Drosophila melanogaster: one gene and its partners. The protein of the gene in region 4 purifies or fractionates together with the protein of the main gene of each other region. This does not show direct contact. Each region holds a gene or a part of one and is shown on either strand. Other genes may lie near its edges.

The links.
Region 1: the proteins of Rcd1 (region 4) and mof purify together in Drosophila melanogaster (affinity purification with western blotting; 2 studies listed by BioGRID, with this or other methods). This does not show direct contact.
Region 2: the proteins of Rcd1 (region 4) and nsl1 purify together in Drosophila melanogaster (affinity purification with western blotting; 5 studies listed by BioGRID, with this or other methods). This does not show direct contact.
Region 3: the proteins of Rcd1 (region 4) and MBD-R2 purify together in Drosophila melanogaster (affinity purification with western blotting; 4 studies listed by BioGRID, with this or other methods). This does not show direct contact.

Annotation. Positions count from the first base shown.
Region 1 is NC_004354.4:5,872,742-5,878,968, forward strand, and holds mof (males absent on the first), read right to left. Parts: upstream 4,113-6,227; 5' UTR 4,012-4,112; coding exon 1,528-4,011; 3' UTR 1,099-1,527; downstream 1-1,098. Other genes in the region: GAA1 (glycosylphosphatidylinositol anchor attachment 1), read right to left, coding at 1-277, 338-515; Usp30 (ubiquitin specific protease 30), read right to left, coding at 4,689-4,806, 4,865-5,064, 5,305-6,227. UniProt on the Drosophila melanogaster protein: Histone acetyltransferase that catalyzes the formation of the majority of histone H4 acetylation at 'Lys-16' (H4K16ac), an epigenetic mark that prevents chromatin compaction and constitutes the only acetylation mark intergenerationally transmitted.
Region 2 is NT_033777.3:15,791,473-15,800,129, reverse strand, and holds the start of nsl1 (non-specific lethal 1), read right to left. Parts: upstream 6,349-8,657; 5' UTR 6,077-6,348; exon of another isoform or gene 5,930-6,076; intron 5,302-5,929; 5' UTR 5,224-5,301; coding exon 4,551-5,223; intron 4,485-4,550; coding exon 3,239-4,484; intron 2,833-3,238; coding exon 2,336-2,832; intron 2,044-2,335; coding exon 1,663-2,043; coding exon of another isoform or gene 1,649-1,662; exon of another isoform or gene 1,410-1,648; coding exon 1,094-1,409; intron 985-1,093; coding exon 868-984; intron 755-867; coding exon 1-754. Other genes in the region: Acyp2 (acylphosphatase 2), read right to left, coding at 6,806-6,920, 6,979-7,088, 7,157-7,173, 7,229-7,295; c(3)G (crossover suppressor on 3 of gowen), read left to right, coding at 7,688-8,196, 8,252-8,474, 8,546-8,657.
Region 3 is NT_033777.3:12,351,165-12,358,606, forward strand, and holds MBD-R2 (MBD-R2), read right to left. Parts: upstream 5,102-7,442; 5' UTR 4,980-5,101; coding exon 3,755-4,979; intron 3,682-3,754; coding exon 3,031-3,681; intron 2,967-3,030; coding exon 2,834-2,966; intron 2,781-2,833; coding exon 1,450-2,780; intron 1,381-1,449; coding exon 1,211-1,380; 3' UTR 979-1,210; downstream 1-978. Other genes in the region: CG10041 (uncharacterized protein), read right to left, coding at 246-899. UniProt on the Drosophila melanogaster protein: Component of the non-specific lethal (NLS) complex, a multiprotein complex that promotes expression of housekeeping genes on X chromosome and autosomes.
Region 4 is NT_033778.4:14,147,138-14,155,028, reverse strand, and holds Rcd1 (reduction in Cnn dots 1), read left to right. Parts: upstream 1-2,320; 5' UTR 2,321-2,614; coding exon 2,615-2,965; intron 2,966-3,102; coding exon 3,103-3,422; intron 3,423-3,482; coding exon 3,483-4,009; intron 4,010-4,066; coding exon 4,067-4,512; intron 4,513-4,574; coding exon 4,575-4,803; intron 4,804-4,933; coding exon 4,934-4,993; intron 4,994-5,075; coding exon 5,076-5,795; intron 5,796-5,849; coding exon 5,850-6,592; 3' UTR 6,593-6,766; downstream 6,767-7,891. Other genes in the region: pea (peanuts), read right to left, coding at 1-1,780.

The DNA of each region.
Region 1 (6,227 bases), on a different chromosome or scaffold from region 4:
CGATATGGAGCCGCAAAAACGATGCCCTCCGTGGAGGCAATTCTTGGGGCCCTCAATATGCCGTAGATATTCTTGCCGTGATACTCTTTACCGCCGCCAAATGGGTAGCGCAACGTGTAGTTGTGCGTGTGCGTCTCCAGGCCGAACTCGTTCATCTTGGCCGCAATCCAGGCGTGCGGCGTGGTGGACAGATGATCCTTTCGCTCCCGCTGCAGCTCCTCCAGCAACTGGATGGCCAGACGATTCGCATCGATGCGGATCTCCGGATAGACCAAGCCTACAATAGATCACACCAATTGTTAGCGGCTCTCTTTTGGTGACGCTGCACGTAACTCACCTGGCGAAAGAGCATTCTCGGAGAGATATGTCCCGTGGTTGAACTCCGGCAGCGCCAAACAGAAGAACCAGGCCACACCCGCCACATAAAGGGCGTAGCACACCTTGCGAACATGACGCGCCAGTCCGTCCACCAGCTTGCTTTGCGTCGATATCGACGGATCGGACAGCAGGCCCATTTTGGCTGCCCTATATCCTGTATATATCCCGAATCACAACAACACGAATCGGACAAGCCGGCGGAATTGTATCGATGCGGGCGTTATCGATAACCTCGATAACCGATTGCTTATGACGCTAGGGAGGAGAGGGTTAGCAATGGATTTTAATGCTCGAAATTTTAAACTTGTTTTTCCAATGTTTTCGATATTTCTATATATATTTTTTATTATATCAAAATATACATATTAAGCTAACCTACAAGAAATGTGTTGCAAAAATAATGAAAAGAATAACCTGTCGTTGTAAATATTTATTTAATTTTTCCTCTTTTTGACGTTAATGTAACGACGCATTTATTTGAGAAAGTACATCATGTTCTCAGATTGGAGTTTTTCTTTTTTACAGTTTAAATCATTTATTATTGTTCATTAGTCAGTAGGAATCGTTCAGTTCTTTCTGAACTTAACCTAATGTGTAGCCTAAAAGATATTATGGATTCTCTTCCTTAATTATAGTGTATAAAAATGTACCGTGGAGAGATTATGCTATCTTACGTGTAAGGAGTTCATAGAGATGTATTCTCTTCAGGCGTCGGCATATCGGCTGCTGTGGAAGTTTATTTGGTTTTTAACAAGTCCAGAGTTTTTCGAGATAAAGTAGTTAAAGATATATATTTCAAGAACACAGAAGTTTTTAAAATTTTTAAATGGTTGTTCCAAATTCCCTCTCCAAAAACATTAGCCAAACGAATTAGACATTTGGTTCTATCATTAAGAGTTACAACAGCCTATCCGTAAAACTCCTTAACTATAAAAAAAAAAAATTGTAAACCAAATGTTAAGTATTACATTGAACCTTCTGATGGTTCCATTTAGATATATGACTATACATTTTTCGTTTGGAGGGGTGCAATAGAATAGCTTATTCCTACGCTTTCTTTAAAAAAAAATAAAAAAAAAAAACCTAATCGTCATCGTCAATAACAATTATATGCGATGATAGCAGAACGGGGTCTCCAGGTTCCGTATGCTAGCCGGAATTTCCCGGAGCTCTGACCACTGCCGCTGCAGTTTGCGGACTCCAGACGAGGTAATCGGTGTCGATGGTCAGCTTGGGCTGCTTGAACTGCGGCAGCTGGAGGTGGTCTTGAATGGTCTTGGACGTAACGCAAATGACATTCTGGCCCTTCCAATACTTGATCATCTTCATGGACTGCAGCGTGTAGATAATGTCGTCGTGGGTGATGCCACTCATTTCGCTCAGCTCCTTGATTGTGATCTGCTCTGGAGCGCAGCGGGTTTTCATCAGCTCCAGCAGCGTGTATGCCCAATAGCTGCGATAGCTCAGCCTACCCAGATCCGAGAGCGGTTTCTCCGGACTACCGATTACGCCCTCCTTGCGCGACAGCTCATAGCTAAAGGCTATTAGTAGCTTTCCAAATCCCTTACGCTGATGCGGCGGCAATACCAGAATGCAGGCCACGTTGTAGTTTTCCAGCGACTTCTTTTCCTTGGAGAAATAGCCCACAATGTGACTGCCCTCCTTGTCCGTCTCGCAAAGGATGTAAAAGAGAAACGGGTCCATGTCGAAGTATAGAACCTTGTGGTCCAAAAAGAGCTTGGCCATCAGACACAAAAGTTGGCAGTATAGTGACTCCTCCTTGCCGTTCACCTCGTAAATGGATATATTGCCCTTGCGGTAGATCTCTCTTCCGGGCGGACGCCTGCGGTCGCATTCGTGCAGATGATAGGCATAGCTCGACCTGAAGCGCATGTACTTTAGGCAGTACTCGCAAACATATAACGTACGTGCCTTGCCATATTCTTCGGGGAAGGGACTAAAGTACCAGGTGTCGATCTCGTAGTTGCCAAACTGCAGCTTATCAATGTACTTGATCTTCGTAATGGACTCGTGCTCCTTCTCCAGCGCCGCCTGCGTGGCGGTCAGCTCAGCGTGGCTCTTCTGCACGTGGTTGATCTCATCGTAGCGCCGCTTCTGGTAGCGTGTCATCTTGCGGTCGCTGTAGTCATAGCGACTGTTCTCGCAATAGGACAGATAGTAATCCTTGTTGGCCGCACGCTTCTGCCGTTCGGATGAGGCAGCTGCCGCCGCGGCGGCCTGTTGGGCGAGCATTTCCCTGCTAGTACTTGGCTGATCGGGGGCTAATGGTGGCGCTGGCAGCACGGTAATACCGCCCAAGTCATCCGCATTGTCCGAGATCCTATGCCTGCCCACCCATCCGTCCAGGCGGCGATTGAGACCAACATAGTGGACGTAGTACTCATCGGGAGCGGCCGCATTCTCAGTGGTGCGAGACTGAAGCACCTGGCCACGGTGCACGGTGCCATCCTCGCGCCGAATAAAATAGATCTTGTCGGGATTTTCGCTTATATCGATCTTTTGCATCAGAGGGTCACCTGTTGTGATGACCGTCTCCCTGGAAGTGTTGTCGTGCTCCATGGTCAAGGCATCATCTTCGTCCTCCTCTTCCTCTTCATCGTCATCGCTGCTGCTAGTTTCGCTGCTGTCGTCAGAAATGGCCTCAACGTTGGCGCTAAGTACGGTTTGAATGGGCAGAACTACGGCTGGCGGCGGCATGTTGCGCTGGCGAGGATCACGCGGCGCCAGGCGGGTGGGCAGGCCAGGTGTCGATTCCTGCATGTAGCGAGAGCGTATGTAGGGGGATAAATATACTGCTGGTGGTTCCTCGCCGTCATCTGTGGGCGAGGCGGGAGTCTCGGGGACTTGTTCCGCTGCTGGAGGAGGTGGTGGTGGCGGTGGGGCAGCCAATGGCAGCCCCAGTTGTTGTGTCCCTTTGAGATGAAGAGGAGCTGGAATGGTAACCACCTCGGTGATTATTGCATTGGGAGGAGCATCGGGATCCATAACGAAGTCGTCAATGTTGGAACCACTGCCGTAGGGGTTGATGTCGGCCACGCAGATTACCGTATCGGAGGAGGGCTCATCCTCGGTTTCAATTTCCTGGTCCACCACCTCTTTCTGCTTCTGCGGCTGCGCGGGCTCCTGTGCCTCCAATTCAACTGGACCTGGTGACTTCACCTGATCCTGACCGTCCTCCTTCTTTTCCTCCTGCTGCTGCTGCTGTGGTTGCTCCGGCTCGGGCTCCGGTGGTGCCTCCTCCGCCTCGCTAACATCGTCGTAGCGGGAGGAGCTGGACGACCTGGTGGAACTAGTCGATGTGCTGCTCGCCGGCGTGCTGTCCTCCGAAATGGGACTGATGTCGCGATGCTGGCGCTTCGCCGGTGGCTCTGACTCCGCCGCGGCCTCCGCTTGGACACCGCTGAGGTCGAGCGACTGCTCCGCCGACTGATCCGAGCCGCTGACGTCTAGACTGGCGCTCAATTCGGCCGCCGCATCTTCAACCGGCGTCCTCGGCGGACCGCCAATTGTGTACGCATCGGTTGGCTCCTGTTCCGGCTCATGCTCCTCCTCAATCGGCTGCTCCTGCACGTGGCCCGCGCTGGGTGTCTGTTCCAGCTCCGCTTCAGACATTCTTAGCCACTAGATTTGTCCAATTGCGTATTTTTGTTCACTCTTTAGGGAAATGAAACGAAATACGGCGTGAAATGCAACCCTGATTTATCACAACATGTCCAGATAATCGATTATTAATCGGTGGTTATCGATGTACAATACTTTGCACCCTTTTTGAAATTACCCTTCTGGATTTTTCTGTGCATTCAGTATTATAATATATTTTATTTATCCAAAACCTTCAGAGAAAGCACTTTAAAAAATTGGAACTGATTTCGAAATTTTTATTGAACATCTATCCTACAGAATTAACGCGCAAACAATTATTGGTAGTTGATTTGTGTACATTGCTAAATACAGACAGCTAAAAGCACGGCATGAATTTGGAATTCTTAAAAAATCTTAAATGCATAGATAACAAATGAAGAGTCGAGCTCTCTGTTACGATAGGGAGTTCCTATATGCAATAAGCCGTACACAGAGTTTGGATTATGCGGAGACCATTACATGAACCCGCCGAGTATAGGTCAGATCATCGTGGGTTCCCGTACTTATATGAGTTATGTATATATATCTATATAAATGTGACGCGTGTTTGCTATGGCCACCGTTCGACGAAAAGGATTTGGTTTCGGATATTCATATTCATCACATCAAAAGTATGGACTAGAATAATACCGACGACCTACACCTGACTAGCGCAGATTTAGCTGCCTCTGCTGGCCACGATCGTAGAATAAAAGATAGGCGGGGACGCTCAACACCTCGTCGATGCTCACCTCCCGCACAATTGTATCCGATGTGTAGTACCACCTAATAAGGATAGCACAGAATTAGCATAATTATTACACAGAGGCAATGGAAACCATACCGATGTGCGTTCCGCAACGAGCCACGCCTGTAGGTTACAAAGTGACCGCTGTTTGCCTCCCCGGAGTGCACCACCACGGCCAGAAGCCGGTAAAGATTCTTGGGGAACATCGTGCCAAAGCCCTCGCCACCACCAACGCCATTGTTCATCGGCAGGCTGGAGGAATACAGCGACATTGTCGAGCCCCAGGGAGTGCCAGCCTGTAATCATGAGCAAAAGTGTTTGTTTTAACAATATGCTAGTTACTAAATGTAAACAGTTCTTGAATTGAATGCCACTACTCTTTGTACACCAATTAGAAAAGGAAAGACCTATATTCTATAGATATATCCTATACATATATATCCTTTAGATATATGTATTTAAATGATCATATATAAGGATAATTTTTACAGGGGAAGTTTGTTATTCTGGGGCAAACATATGCAACACACGCTCACCTGGCTATTGAGATGCGGCTGCACGAAGCTGTAGGGCGCCATGGAGAGGCTCTCGGGGAAGTGTACATAGTCCTTCCGCTTGCACACCTGTCCAGTTGGCAGCCACACCGTCCGCGCCACATGGATGCACAGGCAGGCCGGTAGTTTAGCGAACGTAACCGATTTGGTGTGCGTGGTGGTCTCGTTGCAGGAGTCACACTTGACATCGCTCAGATCCTCCGATGTGATATACTCGCTAAGCAAGTGGCCCAAACTCAAGCCAGTTCTGCGTTGCGGCGGCAGATTTAGCGTTATGCTGTCGAACTTATCGTACCGAACGGCCGACTTGGAGCCGCAGCCATTGCACACGATCTGTGCGCCCATGGCGCCCTGAAACGGATGCGCCACTTGGCTGGGCATCATGTTGGACCAGATGGACACCCGACCTGGTCCGCGATGCAGGCGCTCTAGCGATCGACAGGAGCTGGACACCCGGCGATTCAGACCCTCATCCTGCTGCTGTTGGGATTGTGGAAGTCGCGGTCGCGACGAACGCTCGCCGCCCAACATAGGCGTAGCCAAGGAATCCGGATTGCTGACGAGCGGAAAGCCAAAGGGTGTCCCTGGCGAAACGGCATCCAGAAGCACGGATCCCAGGCGATCGTTTCCGTCGCGTTCGCAAACAGAGGCAGGCGAATCCGGTGTGTGGGCCTCGGAACGCACCAATCGCTGCAAACTGGTGCTCTCATCATACTCCATGTTTAAGAAATCAGTGAGCATGGCACTGGAGGGCCGGTTCGGTTGATCCCCGATCCTCTGGCTGGCTCCCAGTCCCGCTGCCATGGAGCTAAATGATCGAAAGCCCCCTACTGGCGTTGCTGTGCCTGCCAAGCTGCTGTTATCATCGTTATCCGTGGGCAGAGCATCCGACAGACAGCCGAGGG
Region 2 (8,657 bases), on a different chromosome or scaffold from region 4:
AGGGCCGCCTAGATGAGGAGCTGGTGAGGCGGGATCCGGTGTGTTGGCGCCACTAGATTCGGCACGACTATCGACGCGCCTATTTGCACGCGATCGGGTGCTCCAGGGGAACTTAAGGAAAGTCTCGAAGCGGCGTCGCTCCTCGAGAAGAGCTCGCTGATGTCGCATAATAAACGCTTCATCCGAAAGATCTTCGTCGACATGCTGTGGCTCCTCCTCGCTCTCACGGGATTCCAGCTGTTGCTGCACCAACTGCCCATTAGCCTTGGTGACCTCGTTGGAGGTTGGAGTTTCCAGCTTGGGTCGCTTTGGCAGTGGTGGTTCTGGTGCTGGCTGAGCAATTTTGTCTTGCGTTTCGGCAGTTTTGTCAATCGGATTCTTTATCAAGTTTCCGTTGAGCTTGGGTTTGACCACCTTTTCCTTTGGATCGTCGTCTTCTTTTGATTGCGTATCGTGATCCTCTGCAGCCTTAAGTTCATCCTTTTTGGCGTTACCATTTACCAGTCCATTTTTATTATTATTATTGTTTGTATTATTATTGTTATTGTGCTTGACTGCTTGATTTTCCTTTAAACCATTAACCTTCGGAGGCTGCAGGGCCGGCTGCTCTTGATCTTGATCTGGTGGTGGTGGTAGCTGTTGTTTGGCTAGCTCCTCTGACTTTGATGCGACACAGCCATTGCTCAGTTTGCGCTCCATTGACTCATCTGACGAATGTTTTCCCTTATCGTTATCACTGTCTACAATGCGCCACCTGAAAGCAAAGATGGAATGGGTGATTTTAATAGATATACACAAATCTTGGTATTTTACATTATGCGACATATATATATAAAATAAGGACTTAGCGCAAAATTGAATACTTACTTGGGTATGGGTATTTCCTTGTAGGGAATTATCTCCATTTTCGACTGGGCTAGCATACTGTAGGGTATAACGATGTTATTGATGTCGTAGATGGGACGAACGCGACGCTCAGAGGTTCTGCAAGGGAAACATACATATAAATTATATATAACAATCTATCTTATAAAAAAAAAGCAGGACTACTTATCGCGAATCCCTGGGATCAGTTATTGAATCCGAAACATACCTCTCATTTTTATGACTGTTGGAGGGCGAAGAGTTGCGACGACTCCTGCTTTGCTCCCCCCACTGATCGCCGTAGCCATTGAGATGATGATTGTTGATTTTGGTGCCGTGGTGATTCTGCTGCTGCTGTGTGGAATTGCTGCTGCTGCTGTTGGTTGCGGATTTGCGTGCCTTCTTAGCGCCGCTCAGTGCCGAGATCGAGGTTGAGGAGGGACTGTGGTGGCGTTGTCGTTGGCGTTGGCGAGAGTCTGGCCACAGCGAGCTGGAACTGTTCGCTCCAGTTGGGTGTTGTGGTTGCCGCTTGCCCCTGGCCGCTGCTGATGTTGCGTCAAGTCCGTGATTTGGATGCGGAACGGGGACGAAACGGAGACAAGAACGGAATGGCAAAATAAAACAATTGGTGGGGTTTTTCGTTGTTGTTGTTGGTGGTGGTGTTTGTTGATGGTGTTGGTGGAATTTCGTGTTTTGGTTGATCGATGCAAAGAAAAAGAAGAAGAAGAGATGCAAAAGATTGTTGTTGTTTTATGTTAATAACAATTATCGAATTTCGTCATGTTTACAATAATTTACTGTTGGCCACAAGTGGCGTTGTAGTAGGCGTAGTAGAAGAAGAAGTAGTAGCAGTACCAGTACCGTTTCCGCTATCCCCTCCCCCGACGCTACTGCTTCCGTTTCCGCCTGCTCCTCCTGCGGCGACAGCAGCAGCTTTAGCTCCGCTCCCAGCCTCCTTATTTGAGTTGTTGTTGCGCTCCTTGCGTCGTATATAACGCCGCTTCGCCGCATCGCCCGACCGCCGGCTGCCACCTTGTCCGCCGACACCGCCTGAGGCTATCGTCTCGCGCTCCGCCTTCCACATGGCCTTGACAATGGCCTTGGGCTGGCTGCGCATGACGCGGTACTGCCAGTCCGGCTGGCGGGCAACGGCCTCCAAGTGAACCGACTGACTGACATCTGGGAAACAAGAATGATAGGGATAAGAATATATTCAAACATAATTCCACTTTAGCTGTCATCATCCGACTATTTCTTTTCATTTTGGAATCCAATGTAAAGAATACGAGGATTTTAATGTTTTAGTTTCGAATAAAAATTATTTGCAAGTATTGCATTTTAAAGTTTTACTTTTTAATCAATTCAGTTCAAATCTCAAGTGTAGAATAAATAATGTTAAACCATCACAGATGATAAGAAATAATCATGGACGAAAACCAAATGGGTCCACTCAGTGTAACCTCCCACTCACCGCTGGCGAAGCTGAGCACTGGATGGTAGCCAGCATCGAGCAATGCCACCCGGTTTTGCGGCATCATCGTCTCGACCAGATCCCTGGGCGCCGTAGGGTCTGTCCGACCCGTGCACAGTGTGCATGGCACCTGCGGCCACTGGCAGCCACACTTAATGTTGCTGGGGCGTGCGGCTTTCTTGGAAATCGTGTGCATGTTCGTGGTCTGGAAGAGCTTGCGTTTGCGGAACTCGGACAGCACCAATGGACGTGCCCGACTGCAGAGGTAGTCGGATCCGGGCTCCTCCTTAATGCCATTTGCCGGCTGTGCTAGCGACGGTGAGGTCTTAGCTGTGGACTCCAGCTGGATCTCGCCCTTGGACTGAGTTAGATCCATGTAAAGGTCGCTGTGCTGACGGATCTTCATCTCCAAATCGGTCAGCTGGGAGCAGAGCCAGGACCAGCGCAGGGCAATGGCTGCACGATCTCTCGAATATCGCCAGACAGCGCGTCGAGTGCTGCAAAGAATCAAATTTCAAGAGCATTAGGAAAGAGAATACCACAAAAAAAAAGCTAAAAGAAATATATAATCGCTAATTAACAATTTTAATAAAAACTGTTGAAATAGTTGAAATATCGCATTGTAAATGCGATAATTAGGTACAACAACTCTAATCAAAGCCTATTACAACTTTTCAATTGCTAAGGACGACGTTAAATCATGTTTAAAATGCCTGTCAAAGCAAAACAATTTTGAAAGAAAACTACCGAGCCAACATTAATCGGACAAATTCTATAGCAAAAGAATGATCTTAAAAAGATGACAGAAGCTGAAAACCCCCCTCAAAAAAAGATGGAAGAAAGTTTACTTGTAAAATATTCCCGATAACCTAAGTATGTACATAAATAATACGAAGTACTCACATTGGTAGCGAGAGCTGCTGGTTGTTGTTGTAGGTTACCATCTCGTCAGCGGATTCTCCACCAGAACTTGACTCCGTGGCGTCCGAGTCGATGGCATTCTGTACTTCTCGAAGCTCCGTGTGCAGCAGGCCAGACACATGGGTGAGTTCATTAGTCACATAGGTGTCGTAGCCGGGCACGATATCATCCGCCCGCGGTGTATTCGAACCCGTTGCGGATCCCGTCGTGCCAGCTGCCTGTCTAGATGTTACCGCTCCTGGCGCAGGTGCAGTGGGTGTGGCACCCGTTGCAACCGAAGCATCAAGTTGATTCTTTCGTGGACGCTTCATCGGCAGCGCAGAGCTGTTGCAGCTGTTGTACCAGCTGGAGGATGGCGCCAGAGTAGCAGAGCTTCCGCTGGCTGAGTGGCAGATTTGCTGATGCTTTGCCGCCGTCGCAATATGCCGGATCACATTACTCATCTGGCTAGCAGGCAGCGGATGCTTGTTCTGCTCCTCCCAGAAGGTTGAGCTCGGACGCCCTGAGACAATCGATAGGACAGTGGCCTCCTGCTCAGTCAGCGTGGAACTTCTCGCTGGAACTGGAGCCTTATGGGAACTGCGGGCAGACCACTCCATGATACCAACCACCTCCTCGCTCGCGTGACGGCACATCGCTCGCGCCTGGAGCTTGCGCATCCTGCGTAGCAAAAACTCGATCCTGCGCGAGATAACGTGCTGCTGCTGCTCCAACTCAGCATGACTCTCCTGCCAGGGCCGCTGCTCCTGCTTAATAATCACATTCGGCTGGGAAATGTTGCTGCCGCTAACGAGGATGCCACTGCAGCTGGGCTTCGCGCCCGGCACATCCACCACATTTTCGGGTGGCGCGGGCGGCAATGGCGCTGCCGGTGCTGCCTCTTCCCAAACTTCGTCGAAAAACTCGCAAATGGTATCTGGATTAACATGGCCACCGTCAAATGTTTTGAGCGCTTTAAGCACCTCCTCGATATCCTGATCCTCTAGAACAGCACCAGCTGCTCCGTCTTTGAGAAAATTGTTGGAACTGGTGGTGCTTTGCGGCGTCATCTGTTGAATGGACTGCTGCTGTGTTCGCGCCGGCTGCGGAGACTCAAGATGGGCACTTGGTGGCGCCTGTGGCCTGGTGGGCGTGTTTGGCGCCTCCTGCACGGGTACCGGAACAGAAGGTGGTGCCACATGCTCCTCGGGCCTTCCAGTGGCATTCCCATCTAGCTGGCTGAGACGCTCTGAAACAGTGGGCGAGAGAAATTTTGAGTCAAGACTATTTATTTGGAGTGATTCCTTAGACCCACCTTCTATATTATCTATTTCTATCTTGGTCACCTCATCCACTGCAGATAAGGATAGAGCGCTGCCAGCACTCGTTGAACTTGTGGCCACTGCCAGCACCGAGGCAGGCGGAACCGGCTCTTTCCCCAGACTCACATCGGGTAGGGTTTTCCTCAGGCAAATCTCCGCGGATATGGTCTCCTCAAAGTTGATGGTTAGATCCGCCAGTAGCTGAGCGGTGGAGTTGTCCTTGGGCGTGGAGCTGTTGTCGGCGGAGGTGCTGTTGCCGGCGGAGGTACTGTTGCTGTCGTTATTGTTGTGCTCCACGGCAGAGGTGGAGGCTGCCGCAGTATCCGTCGAGGGATTTGGTGAAGTGGTGCTGTGTGGAGTCGGGGCTGTGCTCAGCCCCATTGGTTCATTGCTGGCTTTAGCGTTGCCCGACTTTCGCTTGTTATTGATTGCTAGCGAGGATCGCTGCTGTTGTAGATGCGGGGAAGCGGTAACTGAGGCCGCTGCCGCTGATGAGCGGGTAATCCGCGTGGTGGCCGTGGCCGGCGTGGGTGTTGCCGGCTTCTTGACCAAGCCAACTGCACATCCAACTCCTCCGCTTTCCGAGGAGCTGCGGGCCGAGGGCGAGGCGGTGCTGGTTAGCTTCTCCTTTGGACTTAGTGGCTCGGCTGTGAGCGCTGGGGCCATCGTTCTGATGCTAATACGTTGGCCGGCTGCTGCGGCATTTGGTTCGTTCGACTCCTAAGGCGTCTCTTTATGCTAATCCTGTCGAGAATTTTCCAAAAACGGGCTATTATTTTTCGGCAATTCAGCGTTAGGACGACAAAATAAAGGCATACTATTCGGTCCGAGACTACTGCGTTATCATATAAAAGAACAATATTGGTGTATTTATTTTTTATCTCGTTTAAACCGCCCGCCTCCGTAAGATTTCAAAATTTGGAATGGTTTTTTTTTTTTGTCTTTTCCGGCGTGTTATGTACATATGCTACATATGCGTACACAACACACACACAGCGTCGCTTTGGCCAACAAGAGAACCCATGAGAGCGAGAGAGAGGTCAGAAAGCGCGCTATTGCACACCATGATGCGCAATAAAAAAAACTGTATAGAACACACACACACAAACATATGCAGGGACTGACAGACTACTTTACATACTGACGAAATCATTGCGGTTACTTTCGAAAATTACAATTTTCCAAGATTGGGCATCTTCTGCCGGCGGGAAACTGCCGATCATGCCACCATGTTTTTATGTAATTCCGTTTATTGAGTTTTTCCACTACAATTAGCCTAGGCAAACGGAAACTCGCGCCTTTACACACACACACGCACATGCTAGCACACACACACGTGCAACTGTATGCGCCACTATATTCAGTTATTTACACAATCTCATTTATTGTATTCCACATGTCTCGATCAATTCTGCAGTAAAAATCAGTTATATGTGCTTTGTGTCCTATCTATATTCGCCCAGATTCCAGCGAAAGGGCAGTGGAAAAAGGTTTTCAGCGCGAAAGTAATCGTACTCACTAACACATGCAAGCAAGAACACACCGACAGCAGGCAGGCAGCACGCAAGAATTTGTAAATTGCTTAAAAATTAAGTAGTATTTTTTTTCATTATACGCACAATTCGGCCGTTCCGAAAAATTGCCCGTAGCACAATTGGCAAATATTTTTTGCAAACACAATGGCGTGACTCGCACTGTAGGAATTACGGTTTTCGCTTCACGGACTTTTTTCCTCATTTATTTTTTTCATCGCTTAGACTGCTCTGCTACGCTTTTGGCAAAACGACGTGTATCGAAGCTGTACTCGTTTCTGTGCCAGACCAAAGTGCGCTGTCGCCCAGCTGGTTGTCTCGCTCTTGCACGTGCGCCGCCTATGGCGGTGGCGCGGCCCACTGTTGTGTGTGCGAGCGAGATGACCAGTGTCTATGGCAGGGAGCTGCAAACTATCGGCTGTGATAGCAATATATCGAGTAGATACTGGAGTGGTGCGCACTTTCGACTAGCGACTATCGATTCTCGGAATAATTTTCCGCCTTGTTTTAAATAATTTATTATTTATTTATTGTTGTACTTCAGTACTGGGTTCAGTTTTGCGAAACGTAATATTTCTTATGTTCATACTATCGAATGTTATCGACTCAGTCGATAGCAATGCAGATATGCCTGCTTACGCAAGTTGCAGCCCTGGTAATTTATTTAGACTTTGTTTCGGAATTGGATGGACAACGAAAGAGCTAATAATTCGTTTTTAATGTTTTATGTCAAAGGAAGTGAACGTATAGTCCTCGATTTCCTGGATTTGCGAAAATTCAGCCTTTGAGACCTTAGCGTTGGGAATTCGGTTGTTCTCCAGCCAATGTTTCCTTCAAATTAGTGGGCGATGGTTAAATGATTGAATTAGTGGAGTGCAGCGGTACCTACATTTCCATTAAATTCATCATAGGAGCCTCCAGTTGTCCCTTGACGGTCCCATCCCGGGTATTCATGCACCAGCCCCTAACTCCCAATCTTTTAGCCTCATGCGACGTGTGCTAAGCCAAAAATGTACATAAGTTAAATGTTGATTTCCAGATATATATATAGGCCTCCCAGTACTTACTTTGCGGAAGAACACACCTGCAAAATTTAATACGCTGTTTAACAAGCCGAATCAGAAAAATGCATTGCATACCTTGCACTCGTCCAAAGATCTCGAAATCGAGGGCAAATATCTGCTTGGCAACTCCAGATCCCGCCATTATGTAGTCGTGATCAGATTTCTGATGCCACTTAGATTCCTTGCAGCACTCAAATTTCTAAATAGAGCTAGCAAAAACTGAATGTTGACAACCAAAATAGAATTATTATTAAATTGTAACATAGTTATCGTAGCCAGGGCGACAACGCAAAACCAGGGGCGTTCAGTAGAAAATACCGTGAGGTCAGTATTTAGACAGTACACACACCTCTTGTGAACAACAATATACTGTAGGTCATCAAGCTCATCTCTAGCTAATGTTTACCGTTGCTTTTCAACGCAGGACGCACTTGGTAAAAGTTTAGGTAAACTAAACAAAACGTTTGTAATGTACAATATATATTTATTTCTTTTATAAATTAGTTGCGCTAATACAACTGCTTAGCTGGCAAAATGACGGGCGCCAAGAAAAGATCGGGAGCACCGTTAGTGGATGCAGCTCACTCGAAAGCCCCAAAACCAGGTACAGTTGCCCAAGAAAAAAACAGCCAAATTCCAACTGTTTGGAAAAAGGATCATGTAAAAACTCAACTTTTCGAAAGATCAAACGAAAAGCCATCCAAAAAAAGAACTCCGCTAGTGGCTCCTAGAGTTCAGCAATCAAAAATTGAAGCGCAAACTTCTCAGGCTGTGGAAAAAACACAGGAAGACCAAACTTTTGCAGCCACCATAGACAGTTCAACAAAAAGTCTAAAAAAGTCTCCCAAAAACGAGGGAGAATTATGGGCAGATATTCAGAAGCTGTCGCCCCACACGGGAATAATAATTCATAGCTTCATAAAGCAGTACAACGAATCGCTAAATAATCTCAAGAAGAAAGACTTGGTGGTCAGCAAGAAAATGAGAGCCATCGCCATGGACTCGCTGAAGAAAAAATCGGAAAATATCAGCTTGAAGGAAAAGTAAGACCTTCCTTCTTCAATACAGTTCCTGCCTGCAGTGAGCTTATTCTTTCAGGTTGACAAATATGGAACTGGAGCTGACCCAACTGAAAACTGATCTTATCGAGCAGCAGGAGAAGAACGCAGAGAACATCCAGAAGTACACGGAAATCAACAAAAAGTACACCCACTGCGAGCAACATTACGACAAGGAGCTGGAAATCATTAAAGTATGTGTTGAGAAGAAAAATTCAGAGCTCCGAGATGCTCAATCCCGGATGGCCCTGCAGGCGCAAGAGGTGAGTTTACTATATTTTAAAATATATAGATATAAATTTATATATATCTACATGTGTATCTCACTTTGCAGCTGAATAATATGCAGCAAACGAATCGTGAGTTAGCTGGAGCCTGCGAGAATTATAAAAAGGATTTGGAAGAAGCAGAAGTGGCCAAATCTATGATTCTACATGAACTTACCG
Region 3 (7,442 bases), on a different chromosome or scaffold from region 4:
TTCCTGGTAAGAAATTATAGGACTTCTATAAATAATATCCTAAATACCTCTTAAAAATTGCTACGTATTGCAAACCAAGGAATTTGACTGGAATATGTTTTCTAGTTTCAAATTTTATAATGATTAAATATTTGAAATGTACCTATATGTAGTTTGTTTAATTTAATTGGAAAACATATTCTTTGTTGAAAAAATTTTAATTGATTTTCGATTATGAATTTCTGGCGTATTTCTGATCCACTTACGTCGCAGGGACCTCGCGGTCCTTTCAAATGCATCGCACAGATGTCAAGCGGTTTGAGGAAAACGAAGCGATGGCTTTGCTGGCACTCATCGTTCTCCATGGTCAAGAAGGGCATCTCCTGGAGTTTTCTTATCTTGCCGACGCCAACCCGACCCCAGCCAACCAGCGAGGCCTGGGTGCCACTATCCCTTTGAGGCTTTCCAGCAAAGTTAATGCTACGAAATCGCACATCGTCGAGCGGGAATTTGGGGTAAATCCTCAACACGGCAATGTCGTTGCCGCCGAGCACCCTAAACTGGGGATGCCATCTTCTTTCCACGACGAAGAAGCGGGTCTGCTTCCGGCTGTTCAGCGAATCGGCGCCACCAGCCACGTACAGTTGTTTGGTTGGATTCGTTTGGATGCAGTGGGCTGCACTGAGCACGAACTCATTCGAAAGTATAACGCCCACGCAAAGGTGCTTGTAGTATCCTTTAAGGTTCTCTCCTATGGAGACGATGTATGGATAACGAGGGCGGAAACTTATCACCTTCGTGGTCGACACAGTTGTGGCTAACAAAGGTGTGCTATTCTGCGGGGTGTCGGAAAGCGTCTCCTGGGCTGCCGACATCGCGGCGAACCAAGCTATGGAGCAAAGAGATTGCCAACAACACATAACTGCGACCAAGTCACGAATACAAAGACGTCACAAAGACGTCTTGTAGTCAGGTTTTATCATCAAGCATCTTAACTTTATAATTGGGCATGAAATTATAATTTTCTGTATTCTCACATGGTTAACTTTAAAAGAATATACATTTAAATTCCATTATATTATCAAACTTTATAAAGTATAGCAATATTTTTTTTGAAGAGAAAAAGCTTGTACGGTTACTATCTACACGTCTGCAAAATTATGGAAACAGTTCGAAAATAGCTTAAAAGAAAATCCTCATTAGACCCCTATAACCGTGATCAATAGAAATGCTACTTGCTAGTGGCAGAATCTCTGAGGGTCTGCTTCATATTGGCCACCTGGTTGAGCTTGGCAAGGCGCTTCATGGTTTCGAGCTCCTTAATAAACGTGGCCAGCGCCTCTTTTGTGGTCGAGATGTCAGCGTCCTTTAAGTCATCCAACGTGTCCTCCTTTTCAAGTTCTAAAAGAAATTCAAAAATATATATAGATTCATATATACTCGTGACAAAAATTAGTTTTGGATACTAACCGTCCATTTCGGCTTCTATGTCATTCAGCCGATCGAGAACCAAGGATTGCTGCACCTTGATATGCTCGATCAAACGGTACTGGCACTCCTCCGGATCGATGGCAGCTTCCGGTTGCGGAACGTTCGGAAGGTCGGGGGCCTCCAATTTTGCACGCTTAACCGGTGTCAACGCAGTAGAGTCCAGATTGTCTTCGTCCCACTTTTTGGCCCATAGATAAAGCTTCGGATGACAGCGGTTGCGTGCGATGTTAATCTTCACCAGCAGCGAGTGCATCGATCGCTTGGCATCTAGCAAATTGCCGGTCAGCGTGTGCGAGCGCTTCAAGAGCTCGAATTGTTTGGTGGCCTGTGGATTTGCAGTGTGATACGCGGCCACCGGCAACTTGCCTTCGAATAGCCAGTCCTGGTCGTGCTTAAATCTCATAGAATCCCGACCCCTCTGCGGATTGCGACAAATGTAGCACACATACTTGTCCGGTACATCTGCCTCTTTGACAATTCCGTTGCATGCACCGTGTTGCCAGCATAGGCACAATTCACATTGGATCATTAGGCCGTCCTCTTCGCCATACTCGCAGATGCAGTTAATGATCTCCTCCTGCCGCATGCGCACAATTCGAATTAGTTCACCATTTTCCTTGATGTACTGTGGTGCTTTGCTTAACGTTTCAGCTGGTGGTGGGGCAAGGGCTGCATTTATGTCGGTCTGGTCATTAGATGATGGCGTGGACACCGAATCTCCCATGGCTGGTGAGTCAATGGAACTGATGGGAGTTGTTGCCGCACCACTGCGGCGTTTTTTCGAGTCGATGCGCGTATCCGGAGTGGGGGTGTTAAAAGATTGCCGTGTCTCCTCAACATCTTGTTCGGTTAAGCCATGACCAGCCGGGTTATCTGACAAAATGGGACGACGCTGAGAGCGCTGGCGGTTACTCTTTCGCGAGCCAGATGGCCGCTTCGACGGCGACAAGCGTGCACGCTTGCAGGAACGACTCAATGAAGGATTAAACGACTGAGTTGGACCAGCATCCAGAGAAACATCTTCTTGTTTAATGCCACTTTCAACAGTTGGCGACACACTTGGTGGCTCCATCTTAGGAGATAACAGGGCCTTAGTAGGCGTTATGTCAGATGGCGTTGAAGATGTGGCCGTAGCTGATACACTCTGTCGTTTAAACGATCGTGACTGCTGCAAATCCTGCTGGTGCATTTTGGCAAAGAATTGCTGGTTGGGTATTTGGTTTTTTGGCACCGCCTCAACTTGATCGATGGATGAGGGGTGCGTACGTTTGACCGCTAGTTCCTGCATCTTTGGACAGTGGCTGACGTGTCTGTAGATTTAAAGTAAGTTAGGTGTCATGAGTTTTGAATGAATATTACTCACTCTGCAAACTCCTTGTGATAATGGCGAATGTGGATTAGCAGAAAGTCTTCTTTGCGATAGGTCTTGGCGCAATCTTCGCGCGGGCATACATAAAGATTGTCTTGGATTTTGACTTTTAGGCCCCCAATGAAAGCTGAAATATGGAATTATAATTTATTTTAATATAGCACATGTTATTTCAAATTGCATATACTTACCAAAGCCATTTTCCACCACATGAGGATCTGCTAACATAAGCTGAGAGGTACCTCCCTCACTGGCTTCCAGTATTTCTGCTTCTATCTTGGGCTTTGTCTCATCGGCAGGCTGCGTCTGCGGCGACATTAACTCAGCTGGTGGCATAAGCGAGGCCACCGGTGCTTCCATGTACTGGCTTTCTTTCACCGGCATCGGAGTAGAAGGTAAAGAATGTTGCGACGTGATGCTCTGGTCCAGCGTGGAGTTCATCGACACATCCATGGGCCTGGGCTTGGGCGGTGGCTGCGGATTGTAGCCGTGTGTGTAGACGTAAGCATTGATGTCTTTGGCACGACGTCGATGGATGCTAAAGTCGTACACATCCGGGTTGTAGACCAGATTCTGGGACTCAAGGAACAACTTCAAGTCGGACTTGGAGCGGAAACGTTTGCCGCTGGGCGAGACCAGAATAACATCCCACTTGCCGAGGACGTTGGACCGCTGGTACATGTGCTTGATCCAGCCAGGAGGCAGACGCCAATCCTGCACGATAACAGTGGGTTTCTGGTGCTCGCCCACAATCAGAAAACCCTCGGTTCCAATAGGCTGGTCATTTACCCAATGACAAGTCCACTCGCCGTCATGCGGTATTTCTGGGAGTCCAAGGGATGCTGTTGGTTACGAAAGTCAAACATGAAAGTTAAGTTTAAGGCAAAACTAACATTCTCCTTTCGGTGCTCTTACCTATATCCAAACTGGCCATGTCCAGCAACGGCCAATCCCTGCGCTGAGGTGCACATTTGCTCTTCTTGCTGCCCGAAGAGCCACTGGATCCGCCAAGGCTGCCTGTGCTCGCCCGCTTCGGAGCCACAGGTGCAGAGCTTACTGGAGTTCCAACAGGAGTGGGTGACTTTGAGGCACCCTCTTCCGCTACCTGAACAGGGGGCAACTGCTTGGGCATCTTGTTCATGTGCACGGCGCGCACGTTCTTAACGTAACCATCGTCGAAGAGAACCTCGTAGGTATCGTTGCCCAGCAACTTGCGTATGGTTCCTGGAAACTTACGCGGCCCCGACCAGCGGGCCATGCACTTCTCGTCCAGCTCAAAGACGGGCAGCACACGGTTGCTGAGGCGCTGCCTCAGCCGCTCCGACTTGATGGCCATCCACTCCTGAAAGCTGCCGCTGGTCGAAGGTGACACCTTTAGCTTGTGATTGCGCTCAAAGCGCACGAGTAGCGTCTGCTCCGTCTCGTTAACTTCCACGATGCGGGCGGGCAACCAGTTGCCTTCCACACTGAGCGCCTCCAAACGGGCGCCAATAGTCAGGTTATGTGGGTTGCTGTACTTGGGCGGTGTGCCGGGCAAAGGTGAGTTCGAACTGGAAGCGGATCCAGGAGCTGGGACTGTGGCTTCGCTGCTTGCGGCTACCGGAGTCCCTGAGGGTTCCTTTGCAGCTGCCTTGTTTGCATCTTCTCCACTTTCGGGAGTATTTTTAACGTCATCCGCCGCCTTGCCTGTTTTACCTTCCTCCGTGGCCTTGCGTTCTGCAGATTCCGACAGGATTTGCGCAACTATTTGGTCTACCGTAGCTTTGATCACATCGTCATTGGTCGATGACTGAGCATTTCCCGGGGTTTCAGTCGTTCCCTCCACGCTGGCGTGCTGAAGTGCCCGTTGGTCTGCTTCGATCTCCGCGGTATCCATCTTGCCCCATGGAAAAACGGTGGGAAAGACGCGCGGCTTGAGCAGATACTTCCCATTGCGGATAGTGTTGAAGTCCAAACGGCGGAAGTGGCGTGAGCAGACCAGCACGCTCTTGGTGATCTGGCGCTCCAGGCTGATGCGAGAGTTTTTGATCCATATGGCGCGGATGATGGGATCTAGGGGGAAGGAGTGGTAAGTCACGCCGTTGTGCTCCAACAGACGCGACGTCGACGGGCAGTTGGCCACGCAGCACCGGCGGCCCATGGCGATGAAGTTCACCCAATTCTCTATTTTGTTTGCCTATGTGCAAACGCACACTTTGCTAAGTGATGAAATAATCCAGGAAACGACGCGAAAATTATCCAGAAAAATACAGCGCAATAAATTAGTGATACCAAATTGGGGTACAGTAAAAACGTGTGCGTCGGCAAACTATCGATAGTTAGATATTGCCACCTTGTTGGAAAAGTTCAAAACTATTTAACGATATTTTTTGAATTTTATAAAAAATAAATTTTAAATGACTTTATTGCATAGATCTTTATTGTGGTGATAAATAAATACTACTTTCGATAAATAAATAAATATTACTTTAGAGCCTGAGTAGGTTGAATTTAATTACTTTTTATTTCTGACTATCTCAATTTTCATGAAACTTTACATCAATCTTCCTGCCATAAATTAACTATTAAAGTTGGTAAATACCCGCTGCACAATTAATATTAATCGGTGCGTTAATGCATTTTAGCGAAGTGAGGGTGCCATAAATTTCCTCAGCTCGGCGGAAAAAGGATCACGTGCCGATACGCCACCGTTCCCAAGGCCACCGAAAGCCTATTTGAAATGCAATTAATGTACGCTTTTGGGCTTACATGTCACCACGTTCGCCAAAAGGCAGACACCTTGCAAAAAGCTAACCAAATACGATATTATCCATTCGACAAATGCTTCTGGAAATATGTATTTCAACACTGGGTTTCAAAGTTTGAGGAGCAGCTATTTACGCATACTGCTAAAATAAACACTCATTGTAGTTTTTAATTACAATATTTCACCCGGTCATTAGCATGCAAGAAACAACTGACAAATTTAAATGTGGCGCCTGCTGCTTGATCGGTTGATTGAGCCGCCAAAAAAATCGATTGAAGTATGGAGCTTTGGCCTTCAAATCGAAATATGTGAGGAAAATGTGATGGCACATTTTGAAAGAATAAAATATTAAGATTCTCTATATTGTGTCAATATCTTATGTATATATGTGGCTTGACCCCTCGAATTCCGTAACTAAACAGTTTAGTTCCATTACAAATATTGTTTTAGAATGATAGCCGGAAACTCACGGTCGAAGAGCTTCCTGTTTTTGGGTACTTCCCTGAAAACGAGGTCTCTGGGTCAATCGGTTGACTTTTAGATCTTGGGCGTGTTTGCGAAATTGACACGGAGCCAATATCAAATGGTGTTGACTTTGATTCAGTGGATTGCCAATATTTGTAATCAAATCACGGCTGGAGCATAAAGCAAACTTTAATTATAAAATGCTTTTATTGTCATATGCAGCTGACATAAATATTAAATAACGTGAGTAATTGACGTTGCTAAGCCGAATAATTTAGCATTTTATAAATTTTGGTCAGTCAAAAACTGACATTGAGGGGGCCACTCGAAGGGAAATCCAAAATGGGTGGTAAACACGGTTAGATTTCCGTTTGCATAACTATTAGTGAACATATTTGCATAAATTATCGACACTCGATGAAATTGGGACGACTGCACCTGACCTCACTCTCTTTTTGTGCAAATAATTCAACAATATGTAACCTGTGCAAAAATATTTTTCAAAAACAGAAAACCGAAAACAGAAATATGTACAAGGAGAGTACAAAACTTTTGGTCCAACTGACGGCGGCACTTTCTCCTTTAATATTTACCCAACTCATCGACAAATTGGCCAGGCCCATTCCCCAGCCTCATCTCATCGGTCCCAGCCGCATAGCCCATAAGTCAGCCCCTTCTCCCTCTCCCTCTCCCGATCCCGATCCCCATTCCGATACCGTCTGGGAACTCATTGCGTAAATATGAGGGCATGCAATGCGGTAATAGGCTGGCTGCGCGTCTCTTGACAGTTGGGCCCAGTTTCCCGGTTCCTTATCACATGATTATTACCCAAAAATATTATCGCTAAATGATGATGATCATTTTGGGCTTGAGAGTGCCCACGGGAATTCATGTAACGCCGAGTAGCTCACACAAATTAAATAAATTATGCTTGCCCGAAAGACATGGCTTAAGCAAATACACGTGTTGACCATGTAAATGGGTTGCCTAATTTATTATAATTTTTATTGCTCTTTGTCGTTCAGCATTGCACGCCGGTCATTTGAAATTTGAAATTTAATATGTGGAATTTTTTCAATGCTAGCAATTGGGATTTTTCCAAACTCTGTGTACAATATATTGAAATAATTTTACTTAACACCCACCTCTGTGGCATAGTTTAATAATAATCGATACAAATATTTTGCTAAATATTATAGAAATTTCTGAGAAATGGGCGCGGCTGGCCCAGCAGCATCCAGCATAATCCGCCCAAAGTGTCCAACGAGATACATGTGTCAGGTAATGAGCGGCACCTGCCTTCGTGTAACTTTTGCCGTTTTACCGATTGCCATAAAGTGCGATTTAACAGATACCTTTGCTTTTTCAAAAACCGCCATTTTTTGGTTTCGG
Region 4 (7,891 bases):
CATCTCGCAGTTTGTATATGGGCAACGACTGTCGCTGCTCCACTAGCGTCAGATCAGTCTTCTTACCGAAGGAGGATTTCTTGCCGCCAATGACATGCTTTTTCCATTCTGGAACTTCAGGAGGAGCAGCAGCCATTCCTCGCATGTTGGCCGCCAGGCTGCGGCTCTCATCCTCCGGCAGTGGGTCTATCCAGTTCTTATTGAGGCTCGTTGGCATAGCTTCTATCTCTTGTTCACGCTGCAACATCTTCTGCTCGCGACGCTCCTTAGACAAAGCCGACTGCATCATGGCAGCTTGAGCCAGTGAGCCATCGGGATTCTTTACAATTCTCACTGGAGACAGATCATGTAAGGCTCTACCATGCCCGGAGAGGAAGGGTGGCTCCTCTTCCACAATCTCAATCTCGATATCAGCTTCGTCGTCTTCGTCTTTCGGCAATAAGCCTGTTTCCTCGTCGAAATCAGGCATCTCACTTCTGTCCAACACACCGGAACTAATCATTTGCTTGATTTCCCAGCGCTCAGGGCTGGAGATCCTAGTCACACGTTTCCTGGACTCGTGCTCGTCACCTTCCATTCCATTGCCTTGCAAATTCAGCATCGATGTGCTGCTGCTAAAGGGGCCATCTGGATTTCGATCTCGTAGAGACTCATCGTCTTCTGGCGCGTGTGACAGTGGATTAAGATCCTTTCCAGAGTCCTGATCCACCTCTTTCATCGACAAGGACACTTTTTGACCAGTTATTGACATTACTTTCACTTTAACAGTCTGATTCCGAGTGACTACCTCCGTTACATCTGTCACGCGTCCTTCTGCTCTTAGTTGTGAGATGTGTACTAAGCCTTCCCAGCGTTTCCGCAGTCCAAAAAGCTGTACGAAGCAACCAAAGGGTACAATATTAGCTATCTTGCCGGAATAGATCTTGCCCGCCTCCGGATCATCGGTCATGGCGGCAGATGGTGGGGGCATCTTTTCACTGCAGTCCCTCGAACGATCTCTCCTATCTCTCCGTTCTGTGGAACGAGATCGGCTTCGTCTTCGGCGTTCGTGGTGATCTCTTGAGCTGGAACTCTTGTGGCGTCGATCTCTGTCACGATCGCGATCCTCGCGAGACCTGCTTCTGCGGCGATTGTCTCGGGATCTGCTGCGACGACGGCGTTCCTTGTCACGCGATCTGCTTCTGCGGCGATCAGAGTGCCTATCCTCCCGCGACCTACTTCTTCTTTTTGTGTCTCGATCCCTACTTCGGCGCTTGTGGCGGTCCCTGGAACTGACTTCTTTGTGTGGTCTTACCAATGTGGCACCCTCGCCAGGGGCCAGCGCTTCCAGCTCCATCATAGCTGCATCCACATCGCTCATATCGGTTTTTTTGTGCGTTTCGGAATGCTTCTCCGGTTTCGCCTTCACCTTCTCATCGTCATCGCTCTCCTCCTTTTTGCTGTAGGTGTCATTGGGCAAAGCGAGGCCGGGAAACATTTTCAAAAGTTGCGATTTCTTGTCTTCCTTCTTGTCGCCGACAGTTTTCTCCTGGCTAGCGCCGCCAGGTCTGCTGGGGCGCATAAGATTAATGATGCGCTGCAGGTTCTGGACCAGGGAGTCTGGGAATTCGGCGCCATTATCCAGCAAAGCCTTGCGAAATGTGTCATATGTGCGATTTTTGTTTTCTAAATCGATGATAAACTCGGCCAGGTCCTTGTCGTTGATGCCCAAGTGGTTGTCTAGCTCAGTGCAAATCTTCGAGACCAGCGAAAGGTACTCCAACTTCTGCAGCTCGTCCATGCCTACGGAGAGTACTAGTTCAGCTAAAATTTACAAAATTTGTGGAAATTTTAGAAAATTTCCCGCTGAAACTAAACGTGATCAGCTGTTTCTGCACGCAATGGTGTTGCCAGGCGCGTAAAAACAACGGAACGAGGTGGCAGCACTAGCCCCAATCACTCGGTTTCTGACGCTACGCTTAATTTCGTCGCGTTTTTGTTGTCAAAACTAAAAACAATCTCTATTTTAATTAAAGATACATCGAAATATGTCTTCGTTCTTCGATTGCTTCAATGATTTTCTGCAGAGCGGCGGCAACTTAGTGCAGAATGTGTCCCAGGAGCAGGAACAGAAAATCGCGGACCAGGAACTGGACGGCGTCATAGAGCTAATGCCGCCAACCACCCCCACGCCCAGCGAGAGTGTAAGTAACATCCTGAATAAAGGAGTAATTGCTCCACTTGCCCCACATCAAATATATTCGTTTCGTTGGCGTTTTGTTGTGAAATAGAATAATTATCAGCGCGGGGCGTGAGGTTCGGGGTAGCCGCGGTGTTGCCGGACTAAAGTTCTACTGTTAGATGTGGCAAGGCCACGTTTGGCACGCCATATTTTGCTAGAAAGAAAATTCGCAGTTGTGTACTAGGAAATACCAGAAAATCAATAAGAATTGCTGGTAAAATTGGTTAATATCAGTGCGAATCGCGAGTGACCTTTGATTGGGCCGTAGGCTAGCGCCTTGTGGCATTCCCAGCTGTTTCTTACCATCGCAAGCGCGACAACGACGTAGAAAAGAAGAAGAACATCAATTTGGGGGTACCCAGTTAACGCATTATTAATTATTAAAAATTAACTATGAAGGAATCGGGAAGTGTCAGCAAAAATCAGCCGCAGACCTCAGAGGCCAGAGGCTCGATTATAACCTACAGTCCCAGCAAATTTCTGACTAGCGTTGGAACAGGCAGAACGACATACAGCACACATACACACACAACAACAGCAACGTCGGCGGCGACAACCGCAACAAAAACAAACAATTTACCAATGGGCGGATCCAGTGCCGCTTATTATGTGGTAAAGGCTGGCTCCCTGGGCAGCGCTGCCTCCATGTCGGGTTGCATCAAAGTCAGTTCTCCGCCAAAGGGGCCGCCGATGGCTAAGTCGCCCGCCCTGGTCGTTACATCGCCCTGCACGCCAACAGAGAGTGTAATGTTTAAACTAAAGGCATCATATCACCCACTAACCAGCACTGCATGCGCCCTAAGATCCCCAACCGAATCACTCACCTCACTAATGTACCTTCTTGTCGGTATTAAACACTAATTAATGCTTTTATCCTTTAGTCCAGTACCATTTCGGCCCCTAGTGAATCCTCCTTTAGCGAGAAAATGGAGCACAGCTATATGCGAGATACGCCAGTGCGCAGCGATGTTCACAACGGCCTAACGCCCGCTAGGAACATTCTGGTCCGCCATCCGCCACAGTGTCCCAGTTGCCACACATATCCGCCGCAGCACGAGGAGCTGTCAGAGATTCAGCAGGCCCATGTGCCGCCCTATGATGAGGTAGTCGCCAAGGAGGCAATGAATGAATGCGCTCGTATTGCAAAATACGTAAAGAACAACAATTCGGATGAGCAAGATTGGGTGGCGCGCGTTAATAAGTAAGTTCTCGACCTTAGTCAATAGAAAAGCTTTACCATTCAACATCTCCCACCACACAGATTTAATTGGACGCCCATGCAGGAGATGGTTTTCGAGAAGGTCTGCTCAATTCTGGACCAGGATCAGTTGGCACGCTTGGCCAACGACAAACGTCAGCACGAGCCTATCCATCGTCGCATAAGCTCGGACAAATCCGCGTCCAGGTTTCGCAAACTTCTAGCCAGCGTGGCTTGGGAGTCACGCATTACGCAGTGGATCCATGCTCTGCTCATGGAGCACTTGTCGCCTTCGTATATGGCCTCTTATCTGGAAATTCTTCAGACTCTGAAGACCAAGTTGCCCACTTTAGTGGACAAGATGCTGTTTGGTAGGCCCTTAAATAATAGTCAGGAACTGCTGGCACCGGTGATGAAAAAACGATGGGAACCAAATATCATGCCCAAGTCCCGTCAGCTAACGCATAACGCCATCATGGTGGTGCTGCCCAACATGCCGACAACTGGAACAGTTTCGGACCGCATGCAGAAGTGGTACCAGGCATTATCTACTATCACTCAGGTGGTTCAGATTTCGCTGCCGAATACAAGTAGGTTTACTAGCAGAGCTATCTAGATTATCTTATTTAACCATTTCACTTTTATAGACAACAGAATTGGGAATCAGAATCTGGACCATGTGGCCGAAACCATTGTGTCTATCACACGCGTCAAAATCAACGAATTGCGCACAGAAAACCCCAGTCGTGGCATCATACTCGTTGGATTTAATGCTGGAGCTGCCTTGGCTCTACAGGTTGCTCTATCGGAGAGCGTTGCCTGTGTGGTTTGCATGGGATTTGCTTACAACACAATACGTGGGCCACGCGGAACCCCCGATGACCGCATGTTGGACATAAAAGCGCCGATACTCTTTGTCATCGGACAAAATTCCGCACGCACAAGTCAGGAGGAAATGGAAGGGTTACGCGAACGAATGCAGTCCGAATCTTCGTTGGTCGTAGTGGGTAGTGCAGATGATGCACTGCGTGTGCCTAAGAGCAAGCGGCGAATAGAAGGCGTTACACAGTCGATGGTTGATTACATGGTTGTCGTAAGTTCAAAATAGAATATTTGTAATGAAAATACTGTATTTACTTATGATATAAATTGCAGGAGGAAATCTTTGAGTTTGTGAACAGAACGCTAAGCAATCCACCTGGACCGCGTATGCCCACATGTTTAATGCATCAGCAGGGCTACCAGCGACTGCCAAAGCAGTCACCTCACATCCTGGCCGATGGAAACGCAAACAAGGCTGTTCAGCAGATGCGTAAGCGAAAGATGGACGGTGGTTTAGACGACTCAATGGGTCAGCCTTCCAAAACAAAGTTTGTTCCTCACAGTAAGTATCAGTTTTCCAAAATTAGACCATTAAATCGCCATAACCTTATCATCCTACCATCCATCCCGCATGTTTAATCACTAACCACTTAACCATAACGTTCCCAATCAAAATTGTTCCTTCGACGAAGATCGCGTCCACAAGCCGAAGCCACCGCGCCTCATTGATCCGTTTGCTGTGAAGCGAAAGGGTAAATTCATCTCGGGTCTTCCTCTACTGCCACTTGTTGTTTGGCTCGCCCGATTCATAAACTAACATTCTTACCCCCTCAGTTGGAAGACCCCGAACACGCCCCCTTCCCAATGTCGGTGGCTCGGCACGCTCTGTTAGCCAAAAAGGTGCACCTCATCCCGACCAACCAAAACTGAGCGGCGAAGAACCTAACCAATCCATTGAATTCATACTAGATGATGCCCAGGACTATGGAGATGCCCAAACCACTGCAGGTGGTTCAGCGAGCCTGCCAAAGGTGATAACTCCCGGTGTTTTGGGAAAACAACTGCCGCCCGTCAATCTCGCAGCTGGCACCAAGATTAAGATGATCCCATCCAGCCAGTTCGTTCAAATCAAATCGCTACCGTCACAGAGCAAACTCATTAACTACACGCTAAACAAACCGAGTGTCGGGACAAGCAGCACCGCCAACATTGGCAGCGTGGTGAAGACCCTACCATGCTCATCCGTTAGTGGCCAGCAGATCATCACCTTAAAAACGCCCTCGGGACAAACGCAGCAGTTTGCAACAGCAGCCACATCAACAGGTGCCGCTGGTTCATCGACATCAACAGGAACGGGACAGAAAAAGTACACAGTTTTTAAGAACGCCAACGGCATGACCATGCTGCATCTCACCAAGAGCGTACCCACTACAGGTTCTAGCAGCGGCTCTGCGAATATGGATTTGTCCAACATTATCGATATGCCCATTGTTTTTGCCGATAACGAAGGCAATATTCCCGAGCACCAACAGGCGGATAAGGATATTAAACCAGGTGCGTTAAGTGTTATGGTTTATATACTAGATTTTAATTAAACATTTTTCGCAGCCCCCATTCGAAGTGCGAATAAGAGCCCGTTGATCATCAGTCAGAAAATCATTAAGGAGGCAAATAAGCCCTCGGGCATGGTTACCAGTGGCAGCATTACTGCCGTCAGCAAGCCGGGGAATATTGTGCTTAACAAAGGCCTTCAGCAATTGCTAAATTCATCGCCCGGTGGAACACTTGCCACTCAGAATAAAGTTGTGTACCTCAACCGGAGTACAATTAAGCCAATGGGAAATGTGGCGCCTGGTACTCATCGTGTCCCTATAAGGATTGTGAGCACCCCAAACACCGGAGGTGCAGTGACGACCACAGCTTCCAGTAGTCCCATTATGGTTGATCCAGCCACAGGATCCAAGGTTGCCAAGACCGTCAATGTGCAGACAATCAAGCCTACTGGTTCCGTTCTGGCTCAAGGCACCATCCGTCAAGCGGGCAACGTGGGCACCAAGAGCTACCTCCAGATGATCAATACCGCACCTGGTGCATCCAAAACTGTTGCTGGCGACGGCAAAGGTTCTGTACGAAATATCTACTTTAAATCGGCAACCGGACTCAAGCAGTTGCCAGTGCAGATGCTAGGCAATCGAATACCGGGTGGCGCCGTCATTTCGTCAACCGCATCGGCATCTTCTGGATCTCCTGGCTTGCGGCGAGTGGTAAACATTGGGCCCGTTTCCAAGGTGACGGCCACGTCGACAACATCATCGTCGATAGCTGCTACTTTAACCCATAATAAAATGTAGAATTGGACAATGTTTTAATTGCGTGCCTGATACATTTTCGTACTTAGCCGATATCTGTGTAAATATGTTAAGCCATTAATTAATTAGTGATTAAGGGGTCTTGAATTACCCTCTTTCCTCAATGTCAAGGATTATAATTTCGTTCATATAAAGAACAAATAAAAAAAAGTCGACAAAAAGTTTATTTTTATTTAAGTTCTGGGAATTCGGAGAACGCTTCGCTTGCAAACCTGTGCAAATTCCATGTCTGGGATTTGGGTTACCATATAATGGTTCCCCGGTCCTATGTACAAACCTTATGCATACATGGGTGCAATTGCTGAAAAGCGACGGAGCAGTACAGGAAGCAGCAGCGGCGTGGGAAATGTATTCAAATGCTTCGGCTCGAAGTGCGTTAGTCCAAGATTTCTCTGCCATTTATGAAACCACAAGTGTGTTCACACGGCTGCTCTGCGACCAGTGCTGGTAAAACTGTATTCTGATGACCGATATTTTGCTTAGAATTGCAATTCGCAGCTCACTGCCGGCAGCTTGGAAAAAAGTCTAGAGTTTCATTGAAGTTTCGCGGGCAAGTGTATGGATGGTCCTACACATACTTGTATATATATATATATCTAAATATATATATGTGGGTTTCTTGTTAAATGCCTCTTTAGTTTGTGCAGTACACTTTAACCCATTTGAGGTATATTCTAATATATGATGTATATTTATGCAGAAAACTAATTTAAAATCTCATATCTCCTATTATTGTTTTTGTCGGTATTTTAACAATATTTAATATTTTGGTATTAAAGTGCTCTTAAAAAATTGCTATTATTTGAACGATACATAATCACGATACAATAATAATCATAAAAGAATTTAATTTAATATTTACATTTAATAAACCGTTTTTTTTTTTTGGACCTAAAGGGTTAAGTGCACTTTTTGACTAGTCAGCAAATTGCAAAGTGAAGCTCTCTCAAAAGCCAAAGAACATTTTCGCGGATCCCGAATGCCGCTTGCGCAGATTTTGAGTTTTACTTGTGATTTCTTATTTGCTTTAGTATCCAGTCATATATTTTATTACATTGTATGTACAGTCCGAAATCGTGTAGATATATAGAAACACAATTATGTATAGCACTGTATTTTTGAGGCGTCAAGGGTAATACGGACATTTCGAAGTGCTTGGAACTTCAGTAGCGCGACAAACGTGATCACGAGCAGATCGTCAAGGATTACAAAGTAAAGCTGCAAGGATACTGAAAGGATCCAATTGGTTGGTTCAACCAGAGTTTTCAAGGATAATACAGT